2 linked regions of the Caenorhabditis elegans genome follow. The protein of the gene in region 1 interacts with the protein of each later gene in a pairwise test. Each region holds a gene or a part of one and is shown on either strand. Other genes may lie near its edges.

Evidence for each region. The genes of interacting proteins can lie anywhere in the genome.
Region 2: the proteins of T07C4.3 (region 1) and lec-3 interact in a two-hybrid assay, tested with the Caenorhabditis elegans proteins (2 studies listed by BioGRID).

The regions. Positions count from the first base shown.
Region 1 is NC_003281.10:10,349,528-10,357,130, reverse strand, and holds T07C4.3 (ANK_REP_REGION domain-containing protein), read right to left. Parts: upstream 4,977-7,603; 5' UTR 4,910-4,976; coding exon 4,893-4,909; intron 4,698-4,892; coding exon 4,586-4,697; intron 4,530-4,585; coding exon 4,372-4,529; intron 4,329-4,371; coding exon 4,180-4,328; intron 4,130-4,179; coding exon 3,927-4,129; intron 3,883-3,926; coding exon 3,593-3,882; intron 3,546-3,592; coding exon 3,056-3,545; intron 3,004-3,055; coding exon 2,866-3,003; intron 2,825-2,865; coding exon 2,486-2,824; intron 2,438-2,485; coding exon 2,378-2,437; 3' UTR 2,014-2,377; downstream 1-2,013. Other genes in the region: umps-1 (Orotidine 5'-phosphate decarboxylase), read left to right, coding at 1-180, 236-1,059, 1,112-1,163; spp-1 (Saposin B-type domain-containing protein), read left to right, coding at 1,614-1,745, 1,795-1,989; T-box transcription factor tbx-8, read right to left, coding at 7,530-7,603.
Region 2 is NC_003280.10:9,988,053-9,995,132, forward strand, and holds the start of lec-3 (Galectin), read left to right. Parts: upstream 1-3,107; coding exon 3,108-3,187; intron 3,188-3,310; exon of another isoform or gene 3,311-3,316; coding exon 3,317-3,377; intron 3,378-4,204; exon of another isoform or gene 4,205-4,285; intron 4,286-4,402; exon of another isoform or gene 4,403-4,523; intron 4,524-5,567; exon of another isoform or gene 5,568-5,881; coding exon of another isoform or gene 5,882-5,914; intron 5,915-6,090; exon of another isoform or gene 6,091-6,223; coding exon 6,224-6,312; intron 6,313-6,366; coding exon 6,367-6,454; intron 6,455-6,933; coding exon of another isoform or gene 6,934-6,970; exon of another isoform or gene 6,971-7,080. UniProt on the Caenorhabditis elegans protein: Binds galactose.

The sequences.
Region 1 (7,603 bases):
CACACAGAGAATTTGGTCGCCTCGGATGTATTTTGCATTCTGGATCGAGAACAAGGCGGGCGTCAGAAGCTCCAGGACGCGGGTGTCACGCTGCACAGCCTGCTCGACATGCAAACAGTTCTCACATTCTTGTACTCAACTGGAGCGATCGGTGACGAGCAGTGGCACGGAATTGTTCAGGTTAGTCAAATTATCTCGATTTTCTATTTAAAAATAAAATAATTGATTATTTCAGGCTCTCAACCTTCCGTACACCTCCCCAACAAAGCTGGAAATCAACAGCGAGCTCGAAAACCTGTCCAGTCTACCGTACGTGGAAAACGTGCGAACTCCGCTTGCGGAACGCGAATCCCTCACAGAATCTGCACTCATCAAGAAAATTCTTGGAATCATGCGCCGGAAGAAGTCGAATCTGTGTCTCGCTGTCGACTACACTACCGTCGAGCAGTGCCTTCAGATGATCGAGCTCGCTGGTCCATTTGTGCTGGCGATCAAGCTTCACGCCGACGCTATCACCGATTTCAACGAGGAATTCACGAGGAAGCTGACGACGATGGCAAATGATATGGACTTTATCATTTTCGAGGATCGGAAGTTTGGCGACACTGGAAACACGAACCTTCTTCAGCTCACTGGAGCCCAGAAAATCGCCAACTGGGCGGATGTTGTGACTGTTCATGCCGTACAAGGAAGTGACAGCATTGCAGGAGTCTTCAGGAAGCTCGCCAAAGATCCGACTTACAGGCTCAGTGGAGTTCTCCTCATCGCGCAGCTCAGCACCAAAGGATCTTTGACTGCGCTGGAAGGATACACCGAGACCGCCGTCAAGATTGCCAACGAGAATCGTGACGTGATTTCTGGATTCATCACTCAGACGAGAGTGTCTGCTTGCTCGGATCTTCTCAATTGGACGCCCGGTGTGAATCTCGACGCGAAATCCGACTCGGCCGGTCAGCAGTGGAGAGGTGTCGACGAGGCGATCGAAGTACAGCAGAACGACATCATCATCGTCGGAAGAGGCGTCACGTCGTCCAGTGAGCCCGTTCAGCAGCTCAAGAGGTTTGTTTTTTTTTTTTTAATTAAATTTTTAAATGTCAATTTTCTCTTTCAGATATCGACAAATCGCCTGGGATGCGCTCACGAGAAGCGACGATAGCATTTGAAAGTTGAAAAATCCGGAGAGCCTATTTGTAAAGAAGAAATGTGAATATTTATCTAATTACGTATTTATTTAACTTTGTTGATTTTGTTCAAGCTTCCCCAGAATTGTTGAAATAAGTAAATTGATTGCCTCCATCTTCCTCAAATTATCAAGAAATCACATGCCCACACCATTTACTTTACTGCTAACCTGATTAATCAATATTTTCTCCGTCAAGGCGAAAAGCTACTCCTCTAAGCGATCTTATCAGTTCGAAAAATCGGCATCTGATGTGTGAACGACCCGGTGTGTATTCTATAATGTCCTTTGATCTTTTCCTCCATGCTGAAAACATCAGAAACGATTCGATTCCTTATCAGTGCCGCCGCGAAGTTGATAAAAGACACGAGCATCACTGCTCCGGGTGCATTTTCGCTTCATTTCTCCAGTTTTTCATCTTAAAATCTACAGAATGACTCGCATTCTTCCGTGTCTTTTCCTTGTCTTGCTCGCCGCTGCTCCACTTCTAGCCAATCCAGCTAACCCACTCAATCTCAAGAAGCATCACGGTGTTTTCTGTGATGTCTGCAAGGCTCTCGTCGAGGTTTGTGCTCCAAATATCTCCAATTTTCCTCGTTATTCACATATTTCAGGGTGGAGAGAAGGTTGGAGATGATGATCTCGATGCATGGCTTGATGTGAACATCGGAACTCTTTGCTGGACTATGCTGTTGCCGTTGCATCACGAGTGTGAGGAAGAGCTGAAGAAGGTCAAGAAGGAGCTGAAAAAGGATATTGAGAACAAGGATTCTCCAGACAAGGCGTGCAAGGATGTTGATTTGTGCTAAGAATAATAAATGTTTCCTTCAAAATCATCAAAATATTCTTTCATTTAACAAAAACAGAAACAACGGCGAAATTGGTTTGTGCGCGTGGAATTTTAGAGTTATAAAAATTAGAACTCGTGTTGGTTCTAGTTGTTGAATGGGGGAAAAGTTCTCAGCTACCCTGAGAACACGTAAACTAGAAAACCACACACGGTAGAAGGGAGGGGGTATAAAATTAGAAATTAGAATATAATTGTCTCGAAACACACACACACATACAAAAGAAAGTTATCTGGATAAAATATAGAGTGTGGTGAGGACTGATAATTTACAGCGGCGATTTAATAGCACCAATTAAGCACTATGACACGTGGATGTGAGGAGTGATTGTGAGATGTGGAGGTGAAGTCTACTGGACAACGCAGCATCCTCGCATGAATCGAACGTGGCGGCGGCGGAGTGCTCCGAGCTGAAAATTTAAAATAAATATACTTTCTTGAGCAATATTTATAATTACCGCTTGAGGGGAAGGTTTCGCCTCCAGTGCCATATGTTGAAGCTCCTCGGTTCTGCTGAGAATCCTGACATCATCGTCGACGCTGTCCACTTTTGCGATTGGCACATGTTGCTTTGACACTATCGCCTGCAGTGCTGCAATGCGATCTTTGATTGTGGGATCCGCACGATTGCCGTCCAGCTCGACGTTGACTACTACAGTCTTAGCCTTCTGCTCTTCTTTTACAGGGGACAACTGCTCGGCACTTTGTGATACTTTCATCGACTTGTCGATCATTGTCATCGGTTCCGCTTCATCTTCACTGCACAATGAGTATGGAACATCTGCGTCACTCTGAAACTAATTTTAATAATTTAATTCAGAAAATCGCATCAGCAAACCTCCACGGAATCTGCTCGTTTTCGGTGATCATCCTTCAATGGAGTCTCAATGACTGTGATGATCTCCGAGGATCCTGGTCCACTGCCATTACTGTCGACTGTTTTGAGCTGGAAACCATCGGTATCTTTGACTCCGAGCTAAAAATTTCAGTATTAAAAAACAAAAACTTGATTATTAAAATATTAGTACCTCTGCAAATAGATCCTCATTCAATTTAGTCTTGGATGCAAAGTACTCTCGATCCAATGAAGACATTGAAGATTGTTCTTTGGCACAGAACGCGTTCTCAGTTTCCTCTTTAACTGGATTAGGAGTAGTGACTTTTTGTCTGGCTTCTTGCTCGGCGACGAATTCGGCCAGCTGCTCCTTCCCGTTCGCAATGATGCTACTGTGAGTAGAAGTGCTTCTGAAGATGACATTTGTCACTTCAGTCTCCGCGTGTTCCTCCTTCTTTGACGCCGAAAACACTTCATCCACTCTAGGCGCGGAGCCTCCAATTTCTTCGAGAACCTGCGCATAAATGGATTTTGGCTTGTGCTCTGCAAAGTTGACGCCGGCATCGAACTTCTCGATGAGATGCTTGATGGGTTTCCCGTTGGCGAGTTCTGCGGACACCATAGTTTTTCTTTCGGCGGGCAACGGCGGCGTCGCGTGCACTTTCGCCTCTTCGGAAGCGTTTCTGAAAAGTAAAAGTGTTGATGGTGGCGGACGATAAGGGAAACTTACTGTGTCATGGAAAGAGTTGCATCCGCATGTGAAACTGATTGAATAACTGCTTCAAAGGCGGCATCAATTGATTCCGTGAGCACTATCGGAGCCACAATCTCTTGAGCCTTGAAAAGCTTCTCAACTTTTGCCTCCTCCACAATAATCACATCAGCAACCATTGCACTGTCGACCTGATCGCTTTCAGCAGCGATTCTCTGATCTTCTTCAAAGACATCGTCTTCCATCTCCATCTTAGAACCGTCAACCTCATCCTTATCCTCAACCGGCGATGAATTTTCCGAGCGAACCTGAAAATTTGAATATACTAAAAATTGGGTATACTTCCACCTACATCCTTCCCAGACACCCATCCTTCGTCATCAGTCATTGAAGACTGTTGTGCCAGAGACCTTTGCGATGGAGAGTTGTCGGACTTGCTTAAATCCGAAGTTGGACCAGCTGCTTTGTCATCGCAGTCTGTTGAGATCGCAATCGGATTCCCACTTGATGGTGATACAGCTTGTGAGTGATCGGATGACGTGTCTTCAGTGATAACTAGAAAAATTAGCTACTAAAATTATTTTTCTGAAACTAGGGGTGCCTACCGTCGGTTTCGACCGATGTGGACATCAATGGAGGGAGATCGTCATCGTAAACTTCCTGTGGATCGGCGATCAGGCGAAACCTGCACATCATACTCCCATCCATCGATGTCATGAACCTTTTGACCTTTGGAAGCTCGAAGATTTCTCGTCTAAAAGTGAAATTAGATTTAAAAAAAACGAAATTCAGTCTACTTGGTCAAGTTCTTCGATGAGAAGATCGCATTGAGCTCTTCGGCGGTGAGTTGACGTTGGGTCTCCTTATGGTAAACCTTTCTCAGATCATGCCATGTGAACTCTTGTCCTTGCTTTCCTAGTCTGGAAACTGCCACGATAAACGTGGTGAAACCATCCTGAAAAATAGAAAATTATTATTTGAAATCGAAATTGATAATCATTAATCACTTACAACGCTTGGCTGGAATTTTCCAGATGCAGTCGACTGTGTGCGATTTTTCTTGCTGCCGACGGAAGCGGTGCTCTTGTTTCGCTTAGCGTGTCTTCCACGACCCATTTGAGTGCTGAAAACCGAAATAAATGAAGAATACATAGTGACCGGGGACAGATGCGAAAGACAGCCGGCGGAGGTACCAGCTCGTTCAAAAAAGTTATTTTTTGGACACAGACATCTGTCATTAGTGACTCACACAATCGAAGCCAATAACGTCGACAGATGCAACAAAAAACCGTGCTCGAGCAGATTTCTCTTCTCTTACCTTTGAGAATCCGTCATTTTCGCTAGTGATTACTTTCCTACTCGCTTTTATTTCGAAGAGATTTCGTAGTGAGTGCACAAACCTGGAATTCGAAACTAAAAAAGTTGAAAAAAATGAATAAAATAAACAAAGGAAGTTAGAAGCAAGCAACGGGAGCACAAAATTGGGGAGTTTAGAGGTATCTGATTTCAAATATACTGAAAGCATAATCTTTGAGGTTTTTCAATTGGGAAACAGGAGACGTTTACACATAGGCGGCGAGCGATCTCCCAAGAAGGCGAGATTTTGTGGTGAAGATAATCCGAAATGTGGAACAGTGTGCGAAAAATGCGGAAAACACGCGCGTTTTTCGGTTGCAAGTTATTCTCAACAGCTGTTACAACAATTTTATGGATTAAAACGCGGGAAATGTTGCGAAAAGTTCAAAAAATTGGAGAATTATGATAAAAATCCACCAAAATTCAAATAATAAAGATAGGCGGCCTAAATGGGTACGCAAACACGCAAACACCGAAGACGCACAGAAAAGGATCTACCGTAGTTGAGTGAAAATTTAATTTTTATTAAAAAATTAAATTAAATTTTATCAGAACTATTTAGTTTTCCATCCGAAAAAGCTATATTTTTATTTTAAAAAGAAATCCGATTGAAAAGTGAAAATTGTCTATTTTCCGGAAATCTCAGCAGCACGCTTGAACTCTCTAAACCCATTGTTAACCGAGGTAGAAGTGGAGACAAATGATTGGAAAAGTTCCTGATCCGTTAAGCAAACAAAACTATGTGTGTTTCTCGTTGAACAAGCATGAACATCGTTACTTTACTAAATACTCTACTGTTTAAATCGTTTTGCGCTGGGATTGCGTGTGAAAATTGGCAGAATTCGAGTGTCACCTGGAACAAAGTTGGGAAATGATGGAAAAGCTGTTGTAGAAAAACTAAAACCGAAACTTAAAATATCCTGTAAAACTATAATATATAAAAATACTTGCTCAATGGGAAAAAATACGGTACCCGGTCTCGACACGCCAATTTTGTGAATTACGAACCGATGTGCGCCTTTAAAGAGTACTGTAATTTCGAACTTTCGTTGCTGCGGAATTTTCATCGATTTTTCATAATTTTTCGTTGAAAATCTTTATTTATTTAAAACTAGAATTTTAAAAAAATTAAAAATCAATAAATTGTAATAACTTGTAATAAAAACTATGAAAAATCGGCGAAAATATAAAAGCAACAAAAGTGTAAAAGTACAGTACACTTTAAAGGTGCACACCCGTTTTTATTTAACAAAAAATTGTCGTGTCGAGATCGGATACCGTATTTTTCACAAAATTTCATGCCTGGGCAATTTTTTTAAAGGGAGTTACGGTAATAAAATAAAACTTGAGTGTTTAAAAAAGCAGAAAGCTGAGGAATTACAGAAAAAAACCAAAAAATTATTATAGCAACTAATTGGACTGAAAAACAATTTTCGAAATTTTCGCGGCGAGACCCAACTTTTTCAAATAACTTTTAAAAATATACAAATTAATTACCAATGCACAAAACACAAAAAAAATTAAAAAGTGTCAAACGTGGCGACGAACTTGTAAAAGAGTGACACATCTCGAAATAACTCGGGCTCCTAGCGCCGTTTGTTCACCCTCTGTGGGGCAAACGTAGACTCAAGTGGTGGTGGTAGAGAAGAAGCTGCTCTTTTAAAACAAATCTCATATATACATGTACTGTTAACCACTGATCGAACATGACCGACACAGTACTTTGTCTCTCTGTGGGGTTATGCAAATTCGCCGCCCGGGCGTACTTCAAACTCGGCTTTGACCATATAAACATAATGATAATCAAGCCGCGCGAGGAGCAAAACTGTAGTGAAATTGTGTGTATGGGAGGCTGTGATGGGAGAGAACAAAAGTGTAAGAGGGGTGATGACACACTGTGTAATTCTCATGCAGAATCTTCCACGTCATCATATTGAGCAGGTCGACTTTGCCGATTTTTCGCAATTTCAAAATTGAAAGAACTATAGTTTTTCACAAGAAAGTCTAGGCCATAACGGAGAAAATTGAAGGAACGGAAAGAAGAAAAACAGTTCAAAAAAGAAATTGCGTGGCCTAGAACGTGTGAAACCTCGGCCCCGCATTTAGTCTTGGTGGCAGAAAGAACCAATTGAAGAAACTCCGCCACCGTTTTTTTTCGGCCACGTGGCAAGTTATGCTCTATGGTGGAAAAAATTTAAACTGTAAAAACCATAAAAGTTTCTTAAAACATTGCCATGAAAAATTGAAGTCTCGTGGCCGCGAAAAATACAAATTCGGCCATGGTGTTTTTTGGAAATTTTTTAAAGGAAAAATTGCTCAATTTTAAAGGCCGCAAAAAAACTGGTTTTTAAAGTTAAAGTTATTTTTTCAAAAAATTGGCATGGGCAATAGAAGACCTATTTTTTGTGAATGCCCGCAGAAGAGCATTTTTGCCTGCCTGCCTACTTGTCTGGAAGATAATTACACCGTATAAAATTTATTTGATTATGTCCAAATTCAGAAACAAAAAATCTTCTATGCAGAAAAAATTAACAGAAAAAGTGATCATGTGACCCGAACTAAAGTATAACAATTTAAAATTAATAATTAAATTTTGCAATTAAACTACATTGATTTCCTGCTCAATATCCTCTTGCTCTTCTTTCTTGACATTTTTCAAAGATGGCGGAGGTG
Region 2 (7,080 bases), on another chromosome or scaffold:
CATTGGAATTTATTTATTGAAATAGAAGTTCCGTGGTCGAAATTTACCGTGCTCATTAAATTTTTGTTTCTTCGAAAACTGCAATTTTTGATTGTAAAAGTGAATCCTTTACAATATAAAAGAAATCAGACTACTTATTATTACTATAAAGTTGTTATAAATTTAGTCTTTCAAGACTTGAAGCTTGAAACGCTTGAAAGCTTTATTTTTTCAAAGAATATTTGGTGATTTTTTGCTTGAAATCTTAAGCTCTAGAGTCTCTAGTAATTTAGTTCGGTATTTGATATCTAAAATTCTAATTTTCACTTTTTTCAACTCTCTTTGCACCGCATGACAAGATAACGTAAATTTTCAACTTTTATTTTTCATGATTTGCGCTTACAAATCTGCGTAATCCTCCACCCTCATCATTATTTATTATTGTTGATGTTTTCATTTCTCTCTTCCGGATTCTCTCTCATCTCTCCACTTTTTCATCATTTCAATTGAGTGCCAACGCGTCGAAACGTATATGAAAATTTGCATTGCCTCAATTTTACATGGATTGCCGTATGGAATTCTAGCTCATTCTCTGCGATTTCCCTATTTTTTTGTGTGGTCTCTTGCAGTTTGAAAGTAAAATAGAAAATGCCACTTTCAATCAAGAAAATCAACCAATATAAGTACCTACAATCTAAGTACCCCTTTACACAAAAACTGATAAAATAGTTACGTCGGCGACCACCAATGCCACCGGCCCCGAAAAATCGAAAAAACCGGTTTTCAGGCACGAAACGCCCTGAAAATATTTATGTGAAACATGGGGGGCCTATTTTGTCGTTCTGAAGCGAGTTTTCGTCGGAATTTTATGAGCTTTTCTGCTTCTTCTGCTTTTTGAAATGTTGGAAATAGTTGGCAAAAGTGACACTTATACTGCTAGGCTTTTTTCAAGAAACCGATGACACTGAACATGTTGAGTGTGTTCCGTTTTCTTTGTCATTTTACGACTGTGCGAATTTTTTAGTAATTTTAACTTCTCAACGTCACCTCAATTTCCAGAAACAGGATTTTGAATTTTTTAGATTCAGTTCCAAATTTCTAGATTTTACTGAATTGAAACCGTTGGAAATTTTCACCGTTTTTTTTTTCAAATTTGGCAAAATGCCAATTAGATAGACTCCTTCCTTGAATCGGCTCGGCCAAAATTTTTAAAATTTTGAAAGATCTTCAAGTTTAAGAATAAAATATCAAATATAAATCGATGACCGAGTTTTTTTCGAGGCCAAATAGCAAAAGTCGATCCCTGATTGTTGTTTATTTTAAAATTCGGAAAAAAAAATCTACTAAATTTCAAAATATTGGAATAGAAAATAATAAATAAGTTGTAGTGAGTCATTGTCTCAAAATGCTTATACTTGGTTTTTATGTATTTTTCTTTCTTTTTCTGTTAATCACATTCAATTATTTTTCTTTTCTATTGTTCATTTTCAACCTTCCCGCTGAAATTCTACTATCACACTCTAGTTTTTAAAATTCAGAAACATCGAAAAATGTGAAAAACGTAAGAGTTTTTTCCTTTAGAAATTAAAACCTAAAAGAAAAAAAAAAACGACAACTGCAACATATCGGATATCTTTTCTCACTCACTATCCAAGACCTCAATTGAGTCATATGTTCTTCGTTAACGTTTTTTTTTTTGAAATTTTTGAGTGATGGAAAAGAAAAGCATGAAAAAGAGGCAAATGAGTGATCGGAGAGCAAGGATAGAAGAGTAGGAGGAAGAGGTGGAGTAGTAGCTAGGAAAGAAATTGCAAAAAAAGTGAGAAGATACATTATGTTGTATATATATTTTTTGTCTTTCTCTTTTCTTCTCACCAACTATATGTATACAGTTGGTATAAATAGTGACTGAAATGTGCAGTTTTTACAGTTCTCTTGCAAATTTGCATCTGGATTTTTCTGAAAAAATTGTTTGTGTAAAAAAAGCTGTACATTGTATTTTTTGCGGCAATCTGGATGATTGCGTTTTTGTTTAAAGTAAAAACTTTTTGAAATTTTTTCACTTCTTTTAAACTGTAAACCATGGTTCCAGCAAGCACTTCTACTAGCGTGAGCATACTAACTCTGCCTAAAAAAAACGTAGGTTTTCCAAATCACTTTCGAAATCCAAATTAATTTCAAAATCTAATGACATATAATTATTTGTCCAACTCTCTCCTTATCCCTCCTGCGTATCTCATTTTCCACACCCAATAATTTTTGTCTCTGAGTTCAAAAAAATGAAACGTGCGGGAAGTAAATAAAAAAGATCAGCAGCAGTGGGAAAAACCCCTCGCCACCTGTTAACCTCACAATTTATCAGTTTTGATTGATTTTTATTTCTTGTGTTGTTTCTGATATTTCGACTCTTGTCGGTGTTAACTTGAATTTAGTTGGAATTATGTGAGTTTTGGTTGTTCAATTTTATATATTTTTGTTTTTTTTTGTAGTTTGTTTCACTTGATTAATTTAGAAGCTCAATCTTTATGCCCACTTTGTCAAATTTTCCCAATAAGGATTTCTCGTAAAACTCCAAGTCATACAGATTCTCAGAAGTAATAGTCTTGATAACACTTTATCCCTGTTTTAAAACCTTAAAACTAATCGAAAATAGTTCGAGCTACGGTTCAGCCGCTTTCTGACAAATTGACAACTTCCAAAATCATTTTTTGCATGAAAAATTCAGATTCCAACAACTGGTATAATTTTATAACATTTCTCGCAACCAACCAAATCAAATCATTTATAATTTTCCCTGCATCCAAAACGATCCACGGGAATTCATTCCCATAATTCCATGACTCACACTTTTATTTCCCGCCTATTCTTTTTCTACAATCTATCACATTCTTTCTTCCTTCCATTCTCTGTAACAATTCAATCAAATATATACTATTTTTCTTCACACAAAACCTCGGATTGTTTAATCTTCCTTTTAGTTCTCGAAACTCTTTCGAAAACGTTTATGATGTTCAAATATAGTTTTGATACCAGCGTAGCCATAACCTCTTCTTCAAAACCAACACAAATATTGTACATCTCACATAGGGGAGAACATCGCCAAATTTGAACTATTCTCTCCTATAAAAATGTTTCGACGAAGATCGAAAAGTCTAGCAGTTACAGAACCTACTACTAATGGTACTGTAAAGAAAAAGAGAGGTCATGGGTATGTTGGTACAAACGAAAATTTTTTAGAGCAAATAATTATGTAATTTTCCAACTTCTGTACAACTTCTCACTTTCCTTAACAGCTATGAAAAATATCATAAAATATTTCAATTCCCAATTTTTTCAGGACCACCGTTCGACTCCCCGTTTATCTTCGAGAGATCATCATGGCCGAGCCGAAATCCTTCGTAAGTTTTTTTTTTCGATCATGCAATCTTTCCGGTTTTTGTTTTTTTTGTGTGCATGTGATTCTGTTTTTTGTTTCATTTTTGAGTTTCAAAAATGACAGTTTCCTCCTAATTTGGAAATTCTAACACAAAAAACATTGCGTGTTGTTCTGTTCTACCCCATTACAGTCTTCTCGGAAATGCCACCCCCTTATTAACACAAATAGCCGACTTGGTGAACCATAAAATTGAGGTTTGAATCTTGAAGAAGCACGATGGAGCTTTTTATGTGCTCGAACAAGAGACAATTGTAATTTAGTGTGGGGGTGGTGGTAAAAAGGACATCAAAGATTGAATTTTCATAAGTGGAGAAAGCTTGGTCTGAAAATGTACGCTTGAAGCATTTCTGGAAATTATGTAAATAGAAAGAATGGGAGTAATAAGAAGAAATTTCAGCTAGCTTATGAATTGTAAAGAAGTTACAAAGAACACATTGTAAATTGAAAACATGTTTTTTTTTGTCTGATTGTGAAATTATAAAAATTTCAGTGATATTTTTAGGGAGATATATGAGCTTCAAAGTTTGTTTTGTGCTGGAATACTTATTTCGCTGTCAAAGTAGAACAAAAAGCTGCAAATAGAATATGAACTGTAATTGGAAAAAAAAACATGCTATGCGATGTTTACACCCTCCATACATTCTAATATTCTCCACTTTCAAACAAATCTTCACTTCATTTTAAACTTTTTTTTCTCAAAATATCCACTTCCCAGTTCAAGTTGCTATTTTTAGTTCGAGCCGAGCTCCCATAGGAGCTTATCCTCCTCTTGTTAGGTTATGTGACCCGGGGCTCATAGGAACCACGTCATAAATCTAAAAGCCTTTATGTGCACGAACCGTTAGCACAATCTTCCCCCTCTTTTGCAGAAAAAGTACAATTGAGTCGGTGGAAATTCAAATTAATTCAAATATTTTTGCTTCAACTTTTCTTTTTTTAACTGAAGCCAAAACTGACACAGATAGACATACACATCCGCCTCCCCTTATTTCCATAAACATTTTATGTCCTTTTGCTCTCTTACTCGCTTAGATTTCTCACTCCCCCTTTTGTTAGTTTACCCTTTGATTCATGCTCATTTTTCTTTTTCTCCAAAAATTTATTTGACGTAGACAAATTGTTTTATGCTCTGTGCTCCGGGAAACTTTAGGCTTTAATCCGGTGTGTGTGTGTGCAACTTGTTGCAACAAAGTCAAAATCAGATGCGAAACGGAAATTCCGGGTGTAATCCAATATCAGGCAGAGAAAAATTGAGCAGGAAAAGAAAAGACAAGGAGGATTTCCCCCTCTTCTTTTTGTTTATTTTCTCCTATTTCAAGATTAGTGTCAGTTTTTCATTGTGGGTGGCAGAATCTGCGCTCTATTGGCAACAAGAAAAAGTGAGAATTTGTTGGAATTGAATAATTTTATATTTATTAGCCCATGAGCATGAACTAGGTTTTTGCAGCGGGCATTTGGAAATCTGGAAACAGTTTTTGAACTATTATTAATAATCACAAACGAACCCCATGATTGTTAGCAACTGCCTATTACCAAGTTGCGAAACAATTTCATTTTTGGTCAAAAATTACGCCTCGACACGACTGAAAATTTTCTGAGCAATGGAATATGCGTCATTAAAAGTTTAATAGTTTCGGCTTCCTGTTCTTAATGCTATTTTCTCCTTAACTGCCAAATTTTAAGAGCAAAGTCGATAAAAATTGCGGAACGAACTCTTTAAATGCGCAAGTGAAAATTTTTCGATCGCGTCGAGACCATTTACCGTTATTTTGCCTCAAAAAATCGGATTGTTACACAACTGGATAATATAATTTATGAACAACTTACATAACTTTCTTCTATCTTGCTCTAACGCCATGAACATTTTGAACCTAGTTGGTAGCTGATTTAAACTTTTGAACTTTGCGCCACAAATAGTGACGTATAGCTGTATTCTGCCAAGATTCATGAAAGTTGACATGAGAACTTTACTCTCAACTCAACTTTCCAAAAAACGTTTTTTTCAACAAAAAGTCACATCACACTTTATGTGTATTTTTCTTTCGTTTTCCAACTTCAATCCAGCTGGCAAGTGGCCAAGTGTCAAAACAATAGTAGCCTCTTCCCCTTGAGAAATAGGCCACGCCCACATTTTGGTGGCTCCCTTCCCTTCGTTGAGCCACCGCCCGCCCCAGCATCTACTCTTGAAGCCTAGTTGCTGCTTCACTTTGTCACCCCCACTTGTTCTATCTTCTACCCGAAGCTCCCTTCGTCTAATCCGCCAAACTGTTGTCGATCAAGAATCTTAATTTGGGACTTGGTGACCATGGTCAACTGAGTCCCAAAACGTGGCTTCAGCAATATCAGAAAAAGAACCAAAAAGAGCAGCCGCCGTGTCTGCCGAGTTGCTCGACATCCAGCTCTTGCTCGACGAGCACCTCATCGTGCTACCCACTGGGAACTTGCTACGAAACGATTGGAGATGATATGCCGTCGGTTTGGCACTGTGCCAAATATATCGTAGGACTTTTATTGGGGGTTCTGGGTGCAGATTTTCATCGTCTTCTTGTAGGACCGTGAAAATCTGAAATTCTGTGCAGTGCTTTTTCTTGCAGTGAACTTTAGTTCTAGTTTGTCCAGTTTTGTGTCAGTTCAGTCAGTTTCAGTTTCTCTTTTTTTCAGTTTTTCAGTTTAAATTTCAACCAGTGATGTCCAATCTAACCATCAAGTTTTTGAGTGGCTCCCGATGTTTTTTGTGAAACCGAGAATTTCGGGAATAGCTCAAAAACAAATTCCAACAACTCAAGTTAATATTTCGTATTATTTCAGAACATCCCATACCGTTCCAAGCTCACCGAGCGCATCGAGCCCGGACAAACTCTGATCATTCGTGGAAAGACTATCGATGAGTCCAAGAGGTAATCGAGATTTTGACAATATTCATTCGAATTCTAACCCGAAGAAACTTGCAGGTTCAACATTAATCTCCACAAGGATTCTCCAGATTTCTCCGGCAACGACGTGCCTCTTCATCTTTCCATCCGTTTCGACGAGGGAAAGGTAGGTCATTTGATGTTCGAGCTTCTGACTATTATAGGAACTAAAACCATTAAAACACATACATAAACACACAGAAAAAACAAAGTTTCCGCCCGAGATATACATAAGGCTCGATCAAGCGTATGAGCTATAAAAAATTGGCGCTTCTTTCCATCTTCTCCATCCACATAATGGGTTTAACCGGGGTGACATGAATAGAGGGAGCCCAATGGGACCCAGAAGCTCTAGCTTTCAGACATCAGGAAATTGGCTTGCTTTTGGCTTCACATTTTCCCGTTTCTTCTTACTTCCTTCAAGCTTCTTTTTCTTGATTTCTTTTTGATGATGTTTACCCTTTCGGCATGTGTGAGGGATGATGGTGGTGAGCCGAGAAAATGATTGATCCGTGCTCATTGCCTTGCCCTTCACTCACTCAAATAGACAGTGAATCTGTGTCAGGTGATCCCACACACACACACACACACTCACTCCGTTTCCAGATCATATTCGAAAAGTGGCAGCGAGAAAAAACGCTGAGATCAAGTGTAGGTTTTGAATGTTCACAACTCCCCCTTTCTGATACACCCTAGAATATATGTGTATTTTTTGTGCATGCATCATTTCCACCGAACTTGTTTTTTTAAATG